Caenorhabditis elegans: one gene and its partners. The protein of the gene in region 3 interacts with the protein of the main gene of each other region in a biochemical or structural test. Each region holds a gene or a part of one and is shown on either strand. Other genes may lie near its edges.

Evidence for each region.
Region 1: the proteins of plk-1 (region 3) and npp-10 form a complex in vitro, tested with the Caenorhabditis elegans proteins (one study listed by BioGRID).
Region 2: of the proteins of plk-1 (region 3) and par-3, one has a biochemical effect on the other in vitro, tested with the Caenorhabditis elegans proteins (one study listed by BioGRID).
Region 4: of the proteins of plk-1 (region 3) and npp-19, one has a biochemical effect on the other in vitro, tested with the Caenorhabditis elegans proteins (one study listed by BioGRID).

What each region holds. Positions count from the first base shown.
Region 1 is NC_003281.10:6,013,529-6,021,349, forward strand, and holds the start of npp-10 (Nuclear pore complex protein Nup98), read right to left. Parts: upstream 6,035-7,821; 5' UTR 6,021-6,034; coding exon 5,807-6,020; intron 5,759-5,806; coding exon 5,558-5,758; intron 5,516-5,557; coding exon of another isoform or gene 5,510-5,515; coding exon 5,054-5,509; intron 5,008-5,053; coding exon 4,781-5,007; intron 4,736-4,780; coding exon 2,990-4,735; intron 2,942-2,989; coding exon 2,855-2,941; coding exon of another isoform or gene 2,840-2,854; exon of another isoform or gene 2,645-2,839; intron 2,570-2,644; coding exon 2,078-2,569; intron 1,956-2,077; coding exon 958-1,955; intron 911-957; coding exon 455-910; intron 405-454; coding exon 245-404; 3' UTR 1-244. Other genes in the region: Ubiquitin carboxyl-terminal hydrolase cyk-3, read left to right, coding at 6,684-6,756, 6,804-6,874, 6,915-7,068, 7,117-7,233, 7,283-7,519, 7,566-7,821. UniProt on the Caenorhabditis elegans protein: Nup98 and Nup96 play a role in the bidirectional transport across the nucleoporin complex (NPC). Required for the nuclear import of hcp-4 during mitotic prophase, this step is essential for centrosome assembly and resolution.
Region 2 is NC_003281.10:5,662,480-5,667,260, reverse strand, and holds the start of par-3 (PDZ domain-containing protein), read right to left. Parts: upstream 3,029-4,781; 5' UTR 2,958-3,028; intron 2,900-2,957; 5' UTR 2,890-2,899; coding exon 2,722-2,889; intron 2,316-2,721; coding exon 2,226-2,315; intron 2,173-2,225; coding exon 2,110-2,172; intron 1-2,109. UniProt on the Caenorhabditis elegans protein: In cooperation with pkc-3, required for establishing cell polarity and regulating spindle orientation in the early embryo. Localization is crucial for recruiting par-6 and pkc-3 to the peripheral apical cortex and restricting par-2 to basolateral surfaces.
Region 3 is NC_003281.10:8,099,463-8,104,613, reverse strand, and holds plk-1 (Serine/threonine-protein kinase plk-1), read right to left. Parts: upstream 3,267-5,151; coding exon 3,021-3,266; intron 2,974-3,020; coding exon 2,374-2,973; intron 2,131-2,373; coding exon 1,804-2,130; intron 1,758-1,803; coding exon 1,311-1,757; intron 1,262-1,310; coding exon 1,148-1,261; intron 1,100-1,147; coding exon 887-1,099; 3' UTR 545-886; downstream 1-544. Other genes in the region: K06H7.1 (uncharacterized protein), read right to left, coding at 3,976-4,120, 4,164-4,273, 4,316-4,456, 4,503-4,709, 4,755-4,886, 4,948-5,055, 5,105-5,137. UniProt on the Caenorhabditis elegans protein: Required for oocyte nuclear envelope breakdown before entry of oocyte into spermatheca. In meiotic cells, required for spindle dynamics and probably for spindle attachment to the chromosomes. Zygotic role in the development of the germline and nerve cord.
Region 4 is NC_003280.10:10,796,115-10,800,252, forward strand, and holds npp-19 (Nucleoporin NUP35), read right to left. Parts: upstream 2,366-4,138; 5' UTR 2,363-2,365; coding exon 2,289-2,362; intron 2,223-2,288; coding exon 2,149-2,222; intron 2,100-2,148; coding exon 1,827-2,099; intron 1,777-1,826; coding exon 1,385-1,776; intron 1,335-1,384; coding exon 1,150-1,334; intron 971-1,149; coding exon 904-970; intron 861-903; coding exon 780-860; 3' UTR 539-779; downstream 1-538. Other genes in the region: set-14 (SET domain-containing protein 14), read right to left, coding at 1-174.

The DNA of each region.
Region 1 (7,821 bases), 2.1 Mb from region 3:
TTAAATTAAATTCGAGTACTCAATTTATCGTTTTGCTGATTTCTAAATTTCTGTACTAGTTTTCTCATGTGAATAGAACACAACAGTAATAACATCCTACAAAAAGTTCATATTCATAGTAATAAAAAGACGATTCGGGAAATGATGATATACGAGGAAGACAGACGGAGAGGGCAGGAAAATGTAAATAAAAAAAATAAAATTAGAATCAGGTGAAAAATGAATAAATTAAAAAGTGGCTAGTCTAGTCAAATTCAATTGTGAATCTTTCGATTCCCCAAGACGAACGATCACGGAAGATCTTAAACATTTGCCGATGTCCGAGAAGCTTTGTCCACTCTGGAAGTGTATTCTTATCAGCACGGTACTCGAACAAAACACGTCCAATTGTTTGAAGAGAGAGCCTGAAATTATATAAATAGTTTTAAAAAAAACTTATGTCCCAATAGCTTACTTTTGAAGACTGTTCTTGCTGATTGTAGGAGCATGTAGACGAGTTTCCAGACTTTCAAGCACGTCCTGTAAGAGTTCTTCTTCCGCATCATTTTCGATCAAATTGATCAATCGGCAATAATCAGTGTAGACCATTCCAGTCGCACCCCACTCGGGAATCTGATTTTCGAAAGGACGAACCATCGCGCATGCTGCTTTGAGAGCGTCATGATCTCCAGCTACAACTGCAGTTGGTGCAATATCATCCACAAATAAGCGACAAATTTCCAGATAGTTCTTTGCAGCCACAGCCAATTCGAAAAGTTGGGTAGAATCATCGACTGACTTTGCAATTGAGAATTGAGCATCAGCAATCCATTCCGAAGGAATATCGAACTGTTCGGAAATAGAATCAAACATATCATTGTCGGTGAAACGAGCAATACGGTCGAGGAGGGAACGAACTGCTGTTGATCTTCTGGATAAATATATTTATAAATTGAAAGATTCTAAAATTCAACTCACTCTTCATCATCATCAATGTGCTGCAAAACAAACAATGCATATTTTGAGAGACTTGATGCTTCCAATTGAGATGAATAGTTTCTGTGAAGTCTTGTTTCCGAAGTCTTTGACATTGTACGGTATCCAACCGAATAGAGCAAGCTCCATACGTGCCATTGAAGGAAATAATCGTTGGGATTTTCTCCAGCTGCACAGTCAAGTACAACTTCCACTGAGTGCTGTGATTCACATGCCAATTTGATGAGTTCTCCGGGCAGATCTCCACGATTAGAAGCGGCACGGCCAGCATTGACATCTTTCTGATAAGCATCGTAAGATTCTTCTAGACCAGTCCATGCACGAAGATACCAGACATGCAAACCGAGTGCTTGAATCCAATTGAGTCCATCAAGACAGTTGATCGAATGATTCTTTCCGTCTTGATCCCATTCGTAGTGTGATAGTCCTGACATCAGAACATAGCATTTGAGAGTTTCCTTCGGAATCAAATGAAGAGTTTCGCATTTCTTCCAGTTGTCAAGTTGTGCTTTAAAGCAATGAACAGTAGCTTCTGGGCACACAGCAGAAGTCTGAAGCATCGTAGCAAGCTGTGGCTGATTATTATCAATCGCAATTTGAAAAGCTTTATCGATGTCTCCAAGACAGAGTTGATTCCAAACACCATTTGAAGATGTATCCGCACTTCTATCGTCTGGAACAGACTTCACTGCTTCTGTTCTAAGCCATTCTCCAATTTCTTCACCACGCTCGAAAGACCATCCTTCTCGACGTTCATATGGGAATAGAGCAGATATCAACTTCCAAACAGAAACATGTCCATCATATCCACCAGCTTGAGCGACATCGATGTACTTGGCAAACATGGATGAATATGAGTCAGAATAAGTGACGAAGTTAGAAGTGAGCGAAGATTTAACCGAGTTGGATTGTGAAGATGGACCCTTGCGACTGGTTTCAGATACATGAACATTCACATCAAGCATTGAGATTAGCGTGTTCTGAAAATTGATTAAATTAAAAATGGGCCATAGAAGAGAACGGTGTAAAAAAGTACTTAGAAATCCAATTGACAAATAGACTGTAAATCACAGAAGGGCTTTTATAAAGTCACAAATATTACCTCATTCACGTCCGATGTTCTATCAATTGTCCCAAAGAGTACTTGATTGTGTCGGGGTTGAGCTGACCACACAAGACATCCAGTTTCACTCCATCCGACATGTGAACTTCTTCCCTTCACAATTCCTATATCAATCAGTTTGCTCTTTCCATATCCAATCATTTTAGCAGAGTGTCCACCACCGTGGAACCGATGAGCTGGGTCGTTGGCCTTCGGCATGACTTTCAGTTCCTGGAGATTGCGAATGAATCGACTGCTTTCGTATTCCAAATCAGCGAGAAGTTCAAGTTTCGGCTTCTTTTCCGGCTGCTGACCTTCTTCAATAATTGAATCATGACCACTTTCATTGAATTCGGTGGTCATATTTCCGATGCATGATTCTTCTCGACTATCATCCAATGTTCCACCACCAAGACCTTTTCGGTTAACACGACGAATGATCGGCACAACATCACCTAATGCAGCAGGTGCCGGAACTCGTTCCAGAATTATCTGAAACAAATAACTGCTGATGGCTCTCCATATTAAACCCTAAACGGTCTGTCTACCAATACCATTTGAAGAGGCTAATTTTAAAAACAAATTTATTGAGTTAGAAAAGAATAAACGAGAATAATTTGAGTCTTTAGCCTGCCCTAGATGGTATTGGCAAGCAGTCATGTGAAATGCTAAGAATGAAAGCAGAAAATTTTTAAATGAAACAGCAAAACGTTTAGAAGGAAAATTAAAATACGGTGATGATTGAATTATAGTGAGTGACAATCATTCAAAACGGACCTCTTGATGGTGAGCATCCGTTGCCTTGTGCACCTTCTTTCTTTGCACTTGATTGTTCACGTCTCGAGCAGATGTATTCATGTCGATCTGGAAAACTATTTGTGTAAAAGGGTAAAATGAGTTTTAAAAATTTACCACTTGTAATGGAGAAGATGCCTGTAGTGCTTGCTGTGGAGGGGACCCATCCATTGGCTCATCATCGTCGGCCAATCCATACTTGCTGAAATGGTCCACACGGAAGACCCAGCTTCCAGTTTCTGCACGAAAATCTTTGAATGCGGCTCCCATCCGAATCGTTTGTCTCTCGAGATGCTCGCGCCAACCAATCTCGGAGAGTTTCACGACATCTCGCACTTCTTTCTTGGTCTTCTTATCAGTGTACCATACTCTTTCGAGTGTCACTTCTGCTGGCCTATTCAGTTCTTGACCTTCTGGAGCTTTCTCTTCTTCATTCGGATAAACCGTCACCTCGCGATGACGAAATACAACAATCTCGTCGAGAGCAACATCTTTCAGCTCGACTCGTCCTGGCCAGTAGACACTTCCGTACGACGATCTTCCAACTGTCAATCCATCCTCCAACACAACACGTCCGTTCTTGATCATGTTCTTCATCTCATTGATTGTCGGAAGAGAAAAGTAGTCGGGCTTTGTAAGCTTCACTCCTGCTGCCGAATTGACATTAACAGTTTCTTCAGAAGGCGTCGACACAACAGATGCTGCTGAACTAGTTGCAGCAGACACCGGCTCCAAGCCAGTGTGCTCATCGCATGTCGTATCCAAGTTCAACGATGGTGGATCTCTATTTCTGTCATTATGTCTCTGGATTACAGCCTGAACGGGGTCAACTGCTGGAGTGGAAGTGACAACGTCTTGACGTCTTTCGGATTCAGAGATTCGAGGAAGAGCATCTGGATCAGCTACACGGGATTCTCTTCCAACTCTCGAAGAATCTGCGAGCAGAGACATGTCCAACTGCTTCAAATTCGATCTTCTCACGGATCCACGAACTCCAAGACGATTTGAAGTTCCATTCATGGAAGCATCCAGAGCTGAGTCGATAGTTTTGTCGAGGGCACTTGATTCGTGAACACTTCGATTTGTCAGCGACATATTCGGATTGAATGTGCTGTTTCGAAGTCCGCGAGCAAGTGATGGTGGCGCTTCTTTGGAAGTGTAGTTCAAATCTTTGGTGACATCGGCTGACCTGGTAACTGCTGGAGAAAGATCACTCATCACTTTGCTGATTGGTGGAATGATAAACGACGAATCTTGTGCATCAGAAGACGATGACAGAGCGCCTTTCTTCGCAGCAAGGAATCTCAGCTGTCGTTGAGTACTAGCCGGCGAAGACTTCCCATCAATTTCTGGATTCGCATTGTATTTGAGTAGTGGTGAATCACCATACGGCGCATTTGTCAACTGCGACTTCAATGACTTCATGTTTGCTTGCATCTGGAGGACATCAGCCGTAACGCCAATCACAGGTACCGGGGCCACTTGTTGTTGCATTACAATTTGCGGTTGAGCAAGATTTCCGAATCCAGTATTCAACGGCTGTGTAGCTTGAGTGTTTGAACCAAACAGTCCTCCTGAAGAAGCTTGTGGCTGGGAACCAAAGAGACCGCCGCCTGTTCCAGTATTCGTCGTATTTCCGAACAAACCACCTGGCTTTGCTGCATTGTTTCCAAACAATCCACCTCCGGTATTTGTGGAACCGAAGGCATTTGTAGTTGTTGGCTGAGTGGCTCCAAATGTGAAGCCGGTACTTGTTGCAGGCTTCGCACCAAATAACGAACTGCCAGTATTGGCTGTCGAAGTATTTCCGAAGAGACTTCCACCGGTGTTTGCAGCAGCCGGCTGACCGAAAGCATTTGTCGCCTGAAAATTAATAAAATATTGAAATTCTAGGATATCTTAACTCACCGCTGGGGCACCTCCGAAACTGAATCCACTCGATTGTTGCTGTGGTTGTTGCTGAGCTTGGCCGAAGAGTCCGGTACCAGTCGTCCCCGTGTTGCCGAACAGGGACCCAGATTGATTTTGATTCTGTGTATTCCCGAACAACGATCCACCAGTATTCGTCTGTGGTTGTTGATTGCCGAAAAGAGACGATCCAGTTGTCTGACCGAATGTTGAAGCTCCTGTTGTAGCTAAGTTTAAGGTTAAAAATTGTGTTGATGCTAGATTTATTCTTACCTGTAGATCCGAACAGTGACGAGCCCGCTGGTTTAGCTCCGAAAAGAGATCCACTTGCAGCAGACGTGTTGGCGTTGTTGTTACCGAACAATGAACTTCCAGTGTTTGCTGTGCTCGTGTTCCCACCAAATGGAGATGACGTCGAAGCTCCCCCGAACAGAGAAGTCTTCTGTTGAGCATTACTTGATCCAAAAAGCCCACTGCTTCCAGCTTGGTTTGTTGTGTTGGATGCTCCAAAAAGCCCACCGCCAGTGGAAGTCGTTCCTGTTCCGGGAGCCTTTCTATTTGCAATGTAATCCTCCACTCGGAGCTCTTCAATACTCTTTCCATCGTACTTCGACATTGCAGAAATGCACATGTGCTTCGTGGAAATTGTCTGAGTTGTCCCATTTCTCATCATAGTATCAGAACTGATCGGTGGCTCAAACTTAACAGTGGTTCCAGATACGGTCGATGCTGAAGCTGATACAAGATTAATTTATTTATCGAAAATCAATTGTTTACCTCCAAAGAGACCTCCACCAGATGGTGCATTATTATTGGAACCAAAAATGCTGCTGGTTCCAGTATTGTTAGCGTTGTTACCGAATAGGGAACTGCTTGCGGGAGCTGCTGAAGAAGTTGACCCAAAGATACTTCTGTTGGCATTGTTCTGCCCTCCACCGAACAATGAACTCTGGTTGTTCTGAGGCTGCTGCGGACTTCCTAAAATATTAAAATAAATCAAACGCATACAATTATTGATCAAAATACCGAATATGCTGGAAGTGTTGCTGGCCGCTCCGAAGATTGATCCTGCCGGCTTGTTCTGTGCCGCCCCGAAAAGGCCAGTAGTTCCACTGTTATTGGCTGGCTGACCAAACAATCCTTTGTTTTGATTGTTCTGGTTGTTTTGTCCAAATAGACCGCTCCCAGAGCTGCCACCGCCAAAACTCGATGAGCCGAATGATTTGTTCTGGCCGAACATTTAGCTGAAACTTGCAATTGATGAGACGGTTATAGATGAAGCGATGAGCAAGTAATAATTTGCAGTGAATGAAAGGCGGTTGTCATGAACATTCTGCTAAGAGCTGTCACAAGTTTTCATACAACCAAAAAGATAGCATTTACTTGAAAATGTACTTTAGGATTTCCAAATCGGAATTACTCTACACTCAAATTGCACGCTAATGCGACTAGACGGACATTGATTGATTGATCAGGTTACAGGTACATATTTATGACTGAAAATGTGCAAGAATAACACAAAAAATGGGAGAACAACTTCTACAACCAAACTCGAGATGAAAAAATGAGCGAAATGATTTCGAATGCAAAAATTTTTTCGAAGTGATTCTGAAATCGCAACAGAGCGAGTTTGCATTATACACCCTGCGTCTCTTAAGTTCACACACTGTCTCACTGCGCGAGGGTTTTTGACAGTTCTCGACAAGTCTTTTATTTTTTCCCGCAATTCGTGTTTTTTCGTGGGGTTTATTGGAATAAACTGTTTTCCATAATCGTTCTAAAGTCGGTCTCCACTGAAAAACTTTTACAAATGCTTTTCTTTTCAAATAAATTGATTTTTACATTTTTTCTTTCAGATTCGGCAAGAAAATCTGGTTCAGATGCTCAAATGCCATAATCCGAAATGGGTAACACGTTAACTGGACGTTCGAACGCTATCGCACCGATTATCAGTGCGGAAGATGCTAAAACTTATAGTGAGTTTCAGGGATGTTACAAAACAAACATAAACTCAAATTTTTAGTATCGGACGAGGAGTATCGACGAATTCGCCAAGCTTTCCAACGCTTCAAAAATGGATGCATTAATTATGACGTAACTGTTTTTAATTATTTTTTTAACTTCACCATTTAAGGAATTCTGCTATCATGTTCTCGGAGGCGCGCAGATACCAGAAGAAAAACGACGCCTGCTGTTCAGCTTCTTCTCTCATGGCGCTGAAACCATTTCCTTTGACAATTTGCTTTCATCTCTTGTTGGATTGTGTAGAGTAGAAGAAGTACAATCGAGTCAGTCAAGAAACATTTCAGAAATAATATTAAATTATTTATTTTCAGGGTTTATCGAAGAATATCACGAGTTCGCGTCATGGGGATTGAGTCCTCCTAAGCTTACGATTCCGCTCAATGATTCCTATATCTCATTTTACGAAGTGATGTCTTATGTGACGCATTGTAAGATTTAAATTATCTTGATTTCCGTATTTCAAAAACCATTTTTCAGTATCCGTGAACGAGGTTATCGAGTTAGAGAAAGTGTTCGCCACGATCAGTGATCGAGCTGTCTGCAAACTGAATGAAGAGAAGTGGAAACAAGCATTGGGTGGATGCTTCCCGGATAGTTATGCTGAGAGATTATTCGCTGTTTTCGATGAGAATCGAGATGGTCAAATTGACTTCAGAGAGCTCGTTTGTACACTTTCGGCTCTTTGTCGTGGACCTCTACCAGGGAGAATTTCTCGTGAGTTTTTAAGAAATTATTTTGAGAAACTAAAAAGTTGTTTTAGAGTTGGCACGAATCTGGGACGTCGACTGTGACAAACTTCTGTCTGACGAAGAACTTTCTAACATGTACAAAGATCTTAATGTCCCAGAAGAACATCAGACTGTCACAAAATCATCGAATGGGAAATCTGCTCTCGTTGATTTTGGAATATGGGCACAGGAAAACGAAAAATATGTCAATGAATATTATTCTATGGCTCTTCAAATCGGACACATTTGTCTCGGATTGAGACCAGAGTCACGGAAAATGGAATTACA
Region 2 (4,781 bases), 2.4 Mb from region 3:
TTTATGTGTGCTCTTCGCTCCAAGACCCCCCAACAAGTAAGCCACGGTGGGGTTGCGCAAGGGCATCAAGAAGAGGAGCGGCTGAGAAAAAATGACGACAATCATCAGATCGAACGACAAATAGAAACAGAAACACTCGGAAGAGAAGGGAAGAGAGATAGAAAGGGGAAGATGTCTATATACACATCATTCCTAACCATTTCTTCTTATCTTCTCAATAGTTGGTAAAATGTCCATGATATTTGTTCTCGTCGCGAACAACAACAACACAAGCTGTTTATCAGTAAAGAAAAATACAAAAACCACCCGAAAAAAAGCTGCTTTCAGAACAGATGATTCGTAGTGGCAGCGGAGGATGGCGATAACATGAGATATGAGTGTTATGACATTGCATGTAGAATAGGGGGTGCTTTATTTCACGATGATGGCGAGGAGAGAGAGATAGAGATAGATGAACAACTTTAAGTGCTGCCAATTCACATGTTCTGGAGCTATTCGGAGGCCTTTGGAGTCAAATACAATAAGTTTGAAAGGAACAATAATTCAAGGTTTTCACATCACAATTTTCATTTTTCAACTGAAATTCAAAACTTCCACAATTATGAATAACGCCAAAGTTGTTCACAATTTTTGAATTGAAATTCAAAACCGAACAAAAACATTCCAAGGTGACTCACCATATTTTTTTAGTCACACGAAAACTTTGAGTTCTGTTCAATTTTCTTTTCGGCTGGGACTAAACACAGCTTTACATGTTACATGACCATAAAAACTGGATCAAATTAGTAAATGGAAAATTTATAAAGTCTGATACGGCTGAAAAAAAAACTCCTGCCTTTGAACCGTGCTCATCGTAATATCAAAAGTGTAGGCGGCGGGTTTAAAACTGGCGCCCAACTTCCTAACAAAACACTAATTTCTGCAATTGACTCACACTTTCTACTCGTACTCCTATTACACAACGTCCAACTATACATTCCATTTGATTAATTTCAAGTTGGTTGTTGCTGCTGATAATGATTATATCGTCCTCAACGTCAAATAAATCTAAATCAACAAAACTGAGAGAGAGAGAGAGAGAGAGATAACAAATCTTAAGCCTTCGAATAAATTCTTATCAGATTTATTTAGATCAACTGCCTGCCTACAGCGGAAAACTTAATTTACTGCGAAACGAATGCTACAACCTGCGCGAACAGGAAGCATGATGATCGACGACGATGATGATGAGGGGGAAGAGATTCGTACAAAATCCGCCATGAAGTGAACATGGTGAGAGACCAATGCATGTTATATAAACAAAAATCTACCAAGCGCGTCGAAATCAATCCGTTTATTGCAAATTGCAAAATCCAATCGGGACGAGGCGACGGCCTCCGGAATTTCCATGCCGCACAGCGTACGCCGATTAAAGTCAAATTCGACCAGAATCCATTTTGGAAATTAATCCCTCTTTGGCTAGGATTCGCTAGTTATGGTTGGTGGTCCAAGAGGAGAAAATTGCCTTCAATTTGTAGAGATTTTCAAGAAAATGAAGCGATCATTGGATATTCAATCAAGATAAATGTTTTACTGCTTAGTAAATATAAATTGGGATGATAACCACTAAGTCTTAATGTTTAAAGTGAGAAGATCAGGAGTAACTAAATAAAAATCCAAGAGCACCACAGTTCAACTCCACAAAATAGTAAAACTTTTTGACAGTCACTTATGAGAGAGAATGAAGAAATATCTATTATTTACAGTGTTGTGTGCCAACAACACACTGTAACACTGTCTGCGTCTCTTCCAAACTTTCTTTTTCTCCAAAGCGGAAAAGGAAGGGGATTATTTGGTGAAAATGAACAGAGAAATGGTATTCAACACATCCTCATCGGTGCGGCCTTGTTCTCAGCCGAATTAACCTCTCCGAGAAAACGAAAGGGGGCTGCTGCTTCTTCGGGAATGGAATAATATTGGAAGAGAATAAGACGAAGATAAAATTGCGTGCTTCTTGTTGATTTTCCTTTCATTATTCCCGACTGACTGTATTCATGGGAAAATTTGGGATACGCTTTTTTGCCTCCAAAATGACCTTTTTTCTGCAAATTTTTGGAGAAAAAAAATTACCATTCCCCTCGCTTTTTTGTACCGAAGAAGTGCTGCGTCTGCTAGTTGACCAACTGTCTGATCCTGAACAAGAAAAATATTAAAAAATTGATTGAACATTTGAAAAAAAAGCTCACCGATTCCTTCCATGGTACCACAATTTTCATTCGTCCAAATTGAACAGTGACTCGGCGAGTTCCATTCAGTGGAAGCGATTGATATTGGCTCTGAAAAATTAAAATATTGCTTATAATTATAAATTACAACCAAGGTTTCAAATATTCAATGGATTTCACATTTTTTAAAGTAAAAAATAATTCCAGATTTCGGTGTTATAATCGAAAAAGCCAGAAATTTCAAATTTGAAAAGGATCTTAAACTTTCCAACTCAAAAATAGAATGTGTACAAAATTCGGATTTTGACTTAAAAATTTGAATTTACAAAATCATTTTAAAATGCGCATTTTTGCAGTATGAAAATTTGCAGAAATGGAATTCTCAGCAGTTCAAGCATTTTTTTGAAACAAAAATCGGGTAGAACTGTTGACAGTTTGAATTGAAGATTTCTGAAGCGTGAATGAAAGATAATTCAAGATTTTTTCTCCAATTTTTAAGAAAAAAAAACTTCCGCACTCTATCAAGTGTAGATATTGAGGAATTCGCGTAACCACTCGCAATTCCGTACTGTTGCATTCGTTTTTTCAGTGTCGATTCACCCTCGTCGCTGCTTTTACAGCTTCCCGATGGTTCGCCACCTTCCGGACACGATGTGCTAGATGATGACGTGGATGAAGCCGACATGATGATCGATCTGAAAATGAGCAGATATAAAGAAAAATTAAATGAAATGAAAAGAAGTTTTAACAAACCAATCAACGTTTCTCCTCCCGAGAGGCTCTCTCGTTTCGCACCTATTTGCTCTGCGAGACCTTTTCTATCTGCAAGAAAATATATATTAGAGTGATAAGAAAATGATTGGTGTGTCTGTGAAGTAAGTAACAGTAAGAGAGAAAGAGCAAATGATTTAGTGTGCTCAGCGATGGAAAAAAGTTTGAATTTAGCGGGAAAACATTAAAATCTTAAAAATTTGTCCGAATTGCCCGCGCCAATTTTAAAAGGATACAAAAATTAGCTTTTTAGTGATTTTATTCTTGAGTTTTCAAATCTGTAATACAAAAAATTCAGCGTTTTAAGTTTTGTTTTTGCGCAGACAAATTCAGCTCGAAAAACAATATTCTGAAAAAAATCGGCCCGATTTCCGATTTCAATCGGATTTTTTCGTGTTTTCAAGATCTGAATAGCTTAATTGATCTTCTGGACGAGAATTAGTTGACGGAATGAGAAAAAACTCAAAATATCGCACATAAATCAATAGACAATCTAAAAATTTGAAGTTTTTGCAGATTTTAATTTTCAAAAAAAATTTCCCGCCATGCGATAGGTCTCGCCGCGAATGCGTACCGTACCCATCTGTTCCGAAAAATGATTACTGTATTTCTCAATTTCACAAGTCTACAAATTTTTTTAAATTTTATTTAAGAAAAAGCGGCCTTAAAACTGAATTCGCAGTCATCGCATTGCTCATCGCATAGCTAAATAATAAATGAATTTTTGATATCAAAACAAACAATGAAACCTTTGCTGGGAAAATGGGAGGACATTTCTGGAAGACAGAACGGGAGGAAGGTGGTTATCCAATTACATTTTTGGATTCTCTCTACTCTATTTTCTCTCTCAGTGCTCACCAAGGATTTCCAAATGTGCCTATTTTATTTCCACTTGGGCAATTTGTCAAGTGGAGAAGTCACACAGAGGATCCTCTAGAGAAGATGATGATCCATTATAATGAGCATGTTGGAGGAGACGAGTTTTTGGAAGAACACCGAGTTGTGCTGGGATGGATTTGTAAAAAAACAGGAAAGACTTGAAAATAAATTGCTCTACTTTTTGGGGAAAATTCAATTTTTCTTGGATTCGGAAAACCTTATTGTCGGTTTGTGATTTAAAATCAGACGCGGAATTTTGCGTTTTTCCAAAAATACGATACGAAAATGTTTTGTTAAATACATATATGTGGGGAACGCTATGAAAATTCAATGAAAATTCTTGAGCAACGAAAGTTTGAAATTACAGTACTCCTTAAAGGCGCAACCCTTTTCGCATTTAACAACAGTTTGTCGTGTCGAGACCGGGTACCGTATTTTCGGCGTAAAATAAACTAAAACCGACTATAGGTCACATATTGTGTACCATTACACTTTCTGATTGGCATTTTCCTAATGTAAAATGTCAAAAAAGAGAAGGTTGAGTCAGTGCGCACCAGCTGTATTGCACAAGAGTTAGAGAGCCATCACCTCATTGCATATGCCAACTTGACGCCACGACACACATATTTCATGAGATGGATTGGAGAAGCAAAATGACAAATTATAGTCGTGTCAATAAGTTATATGAAGTGGGTGCTGTCCCGACTATTAGTTGAGCTGGCAAACGACGAAATGAACAGAGATTGGCGCAGCGGTGCGCGATTGGATATTAGAAAAACAGTGAGTTACCAGCGGAGCTCGCGCGGCTTGTCAAATGCTCGGAGAGCCTGAATGGAAAAGCTCAAACTGAACAATCAACTTTTTGCACTTTTCTACGATTGCTTTTCCGAAAGTTTAAAAATCTACAAGAAAGATATTTTTAATTGC
Region 3 (5,151 bases):
TTAGACGCACACTGATCGGCAATCGGCAATTGGCGATCGCCGATTTTTTTTTGGCAATTTGTGATCGGCGATCGCCGAAAAAAAAATTTCATCGGCGATCGCCGATTTTTTTGGCCGGCTGCTCAGCTCTGCTCTAGATCTCTAGAAATCCAAAATTCAAGCAGAGAGCAAAAACAATTTAAACTATTGTATTTTTGATTTCATATAACAGTTTATGTCCAACTGTTACAGTAAAGCAGATCCCATTGGCATAATTTGAGACTATTTGGAATCGAACCTGTTTGGATATAAAATAAGTGACGGAAACTGTTCAGAGTGGCAAGTAATTAAACAGAACATTTGTTACTTTGCGACCGTGATCTTTGTAACAATCATGTTCAAATAATTGTCTCGGAATCAGTAAATATTATACACGCTTTTTCGAAAATTCTGAAATGGAAAGTTGAGGCAGATGAGCAGCTCAACTTGATTTTTCCCAATGTGCTGCTATCTACCAAAAATGAAATTGTCGAGAAAGTTTGGAAAAATGAAGAATACAGTTTAATAATCATCGGTACGTTTTATTTCGTGGGACTAATACCAAAAAAAGATGATTCAATTAGCAAAAAGAAATAAAAACGCAAAATAAAAATCGCCTCGCCCATGAATACAAACGAATGAAAAAGGGCTACAGCGGGTCTCATCAGTATTTACAATGAAATGAGCTACGGGAGATCGAGGACGGGGAATAAAGACATGTTGGATGCTGAAACATGGGACTAAAAGGGTCGATGAAAAACAGCAACAATAAATGAAGAGTACGGGTTAAATGTATAGAATAATACTTCTTGGAATTAATCAGGAGATGTAAGCAAATTCATGGAAGTGGCAAAGAGCACATACGGATCTATCGACGTGGGTGAATATTGGATCCACTTGCCGACTGGGGAAGGTGCGATGCAGCTTGATTTGGTCCTCGTGATCCTGCCGAAGCTGAACGAGCAGCTGCCATTGACCGTGGCATATCCGGTTGACGAGCTGGATTCTGGGATACAACGTTAGCATCGCTCATCAACCTTTCGATCATTGTCTTCGCATACTTCAGTCGGTGAAGGAATTTCTGTAAATTATACGTTATATTTGTTGATACTGAAATGGCGATTCAAACCTCTGGACATCCATTGCGCTGAAGATTGTTCAGCTTGTAGGTGAGCATACGCTTGTTTTGATCGATGAATGTAACTGCTTGCATTAATGGGCACATCATCATCTTGACATGATCCTGAAAATTATATTGTTGGGTGTTTCCATTAAATTATGAATTTGCTTACATTGAAGAAATTTATCTGAACAGTTCCATTGGAAAGGTGCAAAACAATTGCTGATTTGGTTCTGAACCAAACTCGAAGCGTTGGTAAACGAGCCAAGTCATCACCAGCTCTTTGTTCAGATCCTTCTCCAGCTTTCACCAAATGGTCATTCATGTAGGATCGAAAATACTTAAGCAATGTGACTTTCTTGTTGAGCAATCCAGGCATTTCACCTGAGTGCATCGAGAAGTAGTGCTCTTTGTTGCTCTTCTCAATATAGGTCAACTCGTTTCCAGCTTGATCAAGCATGATACGAGAATTGTCATTGAAGAGAACTCCGACGGAATTGTCACATAGTTGATATCCGATGCCATACTTGTCCGAATAGTCAACCCATTTCGAAATCCAGAAAACCGGGAGGCACTCTGGTGATTGATAACCATCAAGAGCAGCTTCTTCTTCTTCCAGCTGTAACAAACTTTTAATTTAAAAAAAACCTCTTGTTTATTCTTACCCCTGGAATACGCTGCTCTAAGAGCACAGCAACTTGGTGGAAAAGTTGTGAAAGGTATGCATCCTCGGGCTCCCGGAAAGTCGCCTCTGCAGCTTGTTGTTGAGCACGCTCACGATCGGCATTGTTCGACACGATGTGTTGTGGGAGGGCAGACAATCCAGCTCTTCCGTTCAATGGGCGTTGTGAACGAGCATCAACCCCTCTTGGAGCAACATTTTCCTCCATCATCGAAGTTTCGTGTCCTCCGAACTTTGGCACCATAGTGAGGCAGGAGACTGGAAGTCTAGTCGGCATGAATCCTGACTTGAAGAAGCCATCGCGTTGAACCTGTAGGGTTTTCATTCCGAGTTGAAGAGATTTCATAACTTATTTAAATATTCGAACTGATTTTTTAAAAATTGTTTTCGATCTCTTTACTAATTAGAACGAAGGGCAATCAAACTGAACGTGAACTATCTCTCAATAAAAGTTCACGATAAAATTCAAAAGTACAAATTTTCTAATGATGAAACTCGAATCTCCGATAATACTAAAATGATTTTCACTCCAGTTCAAAACTATTGAAATTACCTGCTTGGCAGTCGGACGACGTGTTGGCTCAGGATCAAGCATCTTGCGGATTAGGCTTGCTGCTGGTTGTGTTGCGATCGACGGAATGGTGTAGTTGTTGTGGCGAATGCGTGAGTATGTCTCTTCAAGCGATTTAGACTCGAATGGTGGTTGTCCGAAAAGAAGAATGTACAGAATGCATCCAACTGCCCAAATGTCAACTTCAAATGAGTGTCCAGCTTTGTTCAAAACCTCCGGAGCTATGTAGTTTGGCGTTCCACACAACGTTTTCTTTCTCTCATCACCGTTGACCGTTGTTGCTAATCCGAAATCTCCAATTTTGACAACTAGATCATCATTGAGGAAAAGATTTCCAAGCTTCATATCACGATGAATGATGTTCAGATCATGCAAATACAGCACGCCATCCACAATTTGATGAGTGAAATAACGAGCTTCAGGTTCGGTGACCGCCTTTCTTCTTTTGTGCAACTCCATCAGCGACCGTCTTGCACATAACTCCAAAGTGATATACACGTTGAGATTGTCCTCGAAGAAGTTGAATAACTTCACGATATTGATGTGTCCAAGCTCTCGATGAATCTGCACCTCTTGTGTCATCTGAAAAATCGTAATATGCACTGAACTAAGATTCGTTCATTGTCTACCTTATCTCTCTGGTATTGCTTGACGAGCATCGACTTCGGAACCACTTTTCCAGCGACAACCTCGCGTGTTGCTCGATTCGTAAGCTCATAACAGTGAGCGAATCCTCCCTTGCCCAAAAATCGTCCTTTCTCATAATAGGTCCCACGATCCTTGTCGGCGATGAGAGCGGGAACCTCTGGTGGAGCCTTCTCCTTTCTTTGGTTGGACTTTTGTGGGGGTTTTGCAATGTTGGGAAGTCGATTCATCTGAAATGCAACACAAAAATTAAAATATTCAGTATTAATAATTGAATAAACGTTTTTATTTCTAAAAATGACAAGAGGCGAGCTGGAAACTTGAAAAAGAATCGGTAAAAGTCATTTTAGGACGAAAATGGCGGACGGCAAATTCGAATGTTGATGCTTGGCGGGCGCAGGTCTCGCAGCGAACCGTGTGTCGATTTACGCGCCGATGAAAAAGGGTGCTAAACAAAACAGCGCGCTGTCATCGATCAAACATTTTCTGGTCAAACATAAATATCACGGAGACATTGATTTAAAAAACGGTTTTAAAAATTGAAAAATTTATTATTCAATGTACTTTCTGCAATAATTTTGTACATTAATGTTTTAAAAATTAGCAACGAACCTTTTTGGGCTTGTAACAGAACATTTGCACGTGTGTTAAACGATGCCAGATGTTAATAAAAGAAAAATTAATTTTAAATGGATTAATACGTATATTTTATGGCGTACGTAATACATTTTTACCACGTGTCTTCCACGTCTTACCGTCATTTGGAGAGAAGGCAGCTTCTCTTTTTGGATTAGTGGTAAGTTTTCGTGGTTTACACGCCTTTCTTTGACGATTAAAATGGATGGAAAGAGATACTATAACAATTTTATTTAATACATGAGATAGGATATTTAGCTTCAAAAACACTATATTTCCAAGACGGCATCTCAAAACATAAAATTATGAAAACGCAACAATGTTATACGGTTTGAAATTGTCAGTTGAATCTTTCAAAACCAGCAAGGACGTTTTCTTGTTATTCTCATCTGGAACACTGTATACATCAACTGGCTCGAAGCACTCAGTTTTGACATCAAAGCGCTCTCTGAAATTAATTCTAGTTTGCCTAACATCAGTTTTCTGCTCACTTTCTATCATAATTCGTACACTTCAAATCTCCTGTGACTTTTTCAACATTCACGTGTTTAGTGAAAAACCATTCTAGGACAACAAATTGATCATTTAAGCTGAGACGTTTCTGAAAAATAACAATTCTTCATTCCATGATGATTTTCAATACCTTTATCGCATGAGCAACTATATTTTCATCAATTCTGTCCGAATAAAAAGAAAAATTTGGAATTGCAATACACAATGCTAGAAATTGGTCGGTTGAGAAAGAACAGTGCTCCATAATACTCAGTGTTTTGCAATTTTGGAACTGAAAATGTATTGTACCAAAAATATTCAAAAATAAACATACTTACATGTGGAAGATCAAATATCTTGGACGGAATATCAAGTGGATATTCTCCATGAGGAGCAATACACAGCTCATTTAGAGAGTTCGGATCAACTCTTTCAATCCACCACTCCAACATTTCCAGAGATTCCATTTTTAGAAAAAGCCTTCTAACGATGATTTTTGGAATGTTCAAAAGCTCATTCGAACTACAAATACATTTGCTTGCTTTCTGAAATATCAAAATACGCGGAATTCAGATTAATTTTTTAACTACCAAGTCTATAAAAAGCTCGTCAAGCCTATAATTACAAGCTTCCAATCTTTCCAAAAGAACTCCTGAAATTTCAATCTCCGGAACTTGGAGATCTTTCATTTTTCCTAGTCGACTTGTATATACAATTGTAATCTAAAAATTTATGATTTAATTAAAATATTATGAGGAATGTGATTATTTTCAATTTAAAAACCTGTTCATCACCAGAGCTTATAATTTTCAGTGAATATCCTGAATCTTGCATTAAATTCTGGTCATTGGTCTCTTGATATTTCCCACGACAGTTGTATTTATTCATTTTCTAAATGAAAAAATTTCTAGTTTATTGCAAAGATCGAGTCAAACTATACCTGTTTAATTCCACACATCCGTGATAGAAATCCCTTAAAAAAGTAAA
Region 4 (4,138 bases), on a different chromosome or scaffold from region 3:
CTTCCAGTCAGCTCTTTGACATTCTTGTGAGCAATAAGCAAGCCGTCGGCAGGCGCTGCACTTTTTGAGTTCTGCCATACTCGTAAGGCATTGATTACAATATGATTCGACTTGATCTCGTGCAAGAGCAAATGCGTACACATTTTCGTGGAGGGCGTCTGGGGGAAGATTCATTGGGAACTGAAAGAATTATTTGAATAATTTTTTTTTAACGGGTTTTTTAAAATTAAATTTTATAAAAAAAATTAAATTTAAAAAAAACTTCATCGATTGTAAATAATTTTCTGAAATTAAAAATTGAAGAAAATGAGAAAAATCGATAAAAGAATCTCTACAGTATTTTTAAAGGCACACACCCACACACAATTTTCAATGTCATTCGTGCCGAGACCATTCTGCAATAATGCGCCCTTCTTTAAACTCATAGAAGTGAATTTGTTTAATCGATGTTTTTCAGTCAATAAAGCCTCATTTTTTGAAAAAATATTTTTTTCGAGTATTAGCAACTCGTCTTCTATAATCGACAATATAAAAATATGAGTTTTCTTCATTTCAATTCATAGAATCAGTTTTGAATGGGAATGGAATGGACGGGAAGAAGGGAAGGAAAAATGTCCGAAAATTGAGAATACACCGAAATAAATAAAATTATTTTGAGAACGAAAAACCGTGAGAAACGAAACTGTTTTCAGAAATTCGAAAAAGAAGGATACACAACAAAAGAAAAAAATGGTGAAATAAAACAGAAAAATGGGCGATATTTCCAATGAGCAAAAAGATTAGTTGAGTCCGATCGTGTTCCAGAACTTGTTGAGCAATCCGTCAGGTGCCTTGCGAACCGATGGGGTTCCCTGTAAAATCTTTTTTAATTGGTTAGAAGGATTGAATCAATGAAATGCTTACGTTTGTTCTTTGATCGGCAGCCAATGGTCTCATTCCGACACCAGAACGGACGGAAATACGAGAAGAACTGAAAACATAAACAATTTTTTGTGGAAATATTAATTGAATTGTGAAAAATTAACTTTTTCTTTTTCACATTTTCAAAGTGGAGTAGCGCTAGACTACAAACTACAAACTTCGCTTTAGCAGATTCAAGTATAAAATTTAGATTTTTATGAATTTTTTACTAAAAATTTCTAATCATACTTGAGCGAGTTATTTGCATCAAAAACATTCGACGAGTTGAGCACACTGTTCTCATTGTGATTAACTGATTGATCGGCCATATCGTTCTCCACAAATGAGTTATACATGGAAGCAGATCGGTTTGCAGCTGCAGCAATGTTAGATGATCGAGCAACAATTCCGGATGCTGAGCCGTTGATCACGTCCTGTAAATTTTAAAATTAAAATAAAAAATAAATATATCCTTTTTACTTACCTTATTTGTGCACTGAACGACTCCAATAAATGTATCCTGATCGAGGAGAGTTCCGTTTCGAGAAATAGCTTGTTGAGCGTGTGTGACACACGAATAGCGCATATGTATGAAGTTTCCTTTTGATGGAGTCTGATGACTAACTACTTCCCCGTGCCGCGAGAATAAATTCAACAAAATCGACACTTGGCTTGGCTGAAATCCAAAAACAGTGACCCAGGTATCAGCTGCGTCGGCTTCTTCTTCCATTGGTTGTTCTTCTGCTTCAGCCAACCTGGATGTGACTCGTTGAGTGATTGGAGTGGAAAGTGGTGTTGATCTGGCAGTGAATGTATTTCGTCTGGAGATCTTTTTCGCTGGTTCAACTTTGTCGCGAAGAGATCGAAGAGGTGGTGCTGAAAATCAATTTTATTTTAAATATTCGCGAAAAAATGTAAATTCTAACCATGCATCGCTTGACCACCGAAAGATGATGTCTGAATCGACTGAGGAGCTGGCTTTGTCGGCGCCGAAAATGATGAATTTCCTCCGAAAGACAAGTTGGCAGGTGTATTCTGTGTTTGTGCCGCCGACTTTTCACCAGATTGCACCAAAGATGGAGACCAATGAACTGATTTAGAGCCCGGTGTATCCTTCAAATGCTGCGGCACTGCCGGTGCAGAAACAGCGAAAATATCCGAACATGGTGCCGATGCAGTGTTGAGCGGGCTAGCGGTGTCTAAATAATTATCATATTTTTGAGAAAACTTAAGATAAACTTTACTTACACGAAGATGGAACAGTTGCCTTTCGCTTTCCGAAAAGAAGTGCCGGCGTAGACTGTTCAACTGGTGTCCCGAAGCTAAAATTAGATTTTTAGTATTAAAAACTGGTTTTTTTTTTGCAAAATAAGAAACAAATTACTCACTTTGAAATACTAGAATTGTTGAGATCCATTGAGTTATGCCTTCCGGATGTATTTTGGTTAAGATGCGAGAACATGGCCTGAATTTCGAAATAAAATGCTTTTTAATTAAAAATTTAAGCAATAAACAAGTTTTTCAAATTTAAAATAAAGAAAGAATTGAAAAATACCGCTTTTTTAAAGTGGAAAACAGGTTCGAAAAGTTCCAAGAAAAAACATTTTTGTTTGAAAAATCAAAGTCCGCAACGACAAAACACGCAAAGCTACGCGCAATTGCGGACTTGAAAATGGAGGGAGTTTAAAATAGGGTTTTTGTGGTGAAAGTTTGCTGGGAGGTTTTCTGCGGGAAATAAAGAGAAAATTTTTTTTCTCTGATCGGATGTTTTGTAATTTTGATGAAGTCGATTTTCTGTTTGAACTTTGATTTTTTTTCTTCAACACTAGACACTGAAAAAAGTGAAATTCGTGTATGGGTTACTGTATAATACCGCCGACCCCTATAGTACATACCTATCCATAAAATATTGAATTCTAAAAAATTCTAGAAATTTAATTACACATTTCAGATGTTTTTGTTTTTATTTCCCTTTGACCTACTCCCTCGTCTAATTTTCGTTTTCAAATTTCAACGAGCACCACTCGTTTCTTCTCACTCCTCCTCGTTTTAATTGCAAAAAAAAACGGAGAAAATTGAGAAATGCACGACGACGGGGTCCCCCATTTAATTAAATTCCTTTTCTGTGTCGTCGACCTTTTTTTGTTGACCACACAGAGCACAACGTTCGGAGAGCTTCTTCCCGCCTCTTCATCAAATAAAATGAGAATTCATTCCTTTTTTGGGAAAGAAAAATGTTTCGTCGCGCACGACTATATAGCCCCCTGTGTCGTATAATATTTGCGGGTTGGTCAAAATGAGAAAGAAAAAAAACCAAAAGATGATGAATTGAATGAAAATTGTATTTAATATTAGTTTTCGGACCGAACCGGATGTAATTTATTTTCAGAAAATGTGGTTGGTTCTGACTGGAGCAGAAGTGGCGACCTGATGATGTAGTCAAACTTGCGCGTCAAATTTGGTGTTTTCGCCCCGCCTCTTAGAAGATGAGATTTTGATTTTTGAACTGAAACTTTCAAACTGTGATTCCCATAAAACCGTACGGAAATTACAATTTCCGTACTGTTACAAAACAAATTTTGGGATAGAGGGAATTATTACGTAGACGTCAAAATTGGGAAAATTTCGTAAAATCTTAGGTCTCGCCACGCCGAGTTACTGTAACTCGTCTCCATTTACGGGTAGCATAGTATCATAATTTTCAGATTTAATCGAAAATTGCTGTCAAGAATTTGAATATAATATTAAAAATGGCACAATATTGGTCCAGTTACAGTAACCCAATTTCAGCGTGGTGAGACCCGAAAACTTTCATCTTTAGACTACCACGTAATAACAGAAATTGAGAATAGAAAACGATGGTATTGGCCACACCCACATAACCGTGCGGAACTTGCAGATTTTGCAACCTCCGCAAGGTTCATTGAGCTCTCATTCTCATAACCGTGCGGAGGTTGCAAAATTTGCAATTTTCGCACACTCTTCTTCTCGTGGAGTACACATTCTCCGATTTCGAAATTTAAGAAAGTTTTTGGAGACGAGGTCACCTGGCAACGGGATCTATGAAGACTAGCGGAAGAACATTATAGCAACGATTCGTTTTTTTTTCGGCAATGTGTCCCAAGTGCATCCCTTTCCATCATTTTTCTTTTTTTATTCTACTCATCGTTCCATTCCACTTTCTTGTGTGTACGACAGCATTCATTCAATCCTAATTGGATGTGATCCTTCTGTGCCC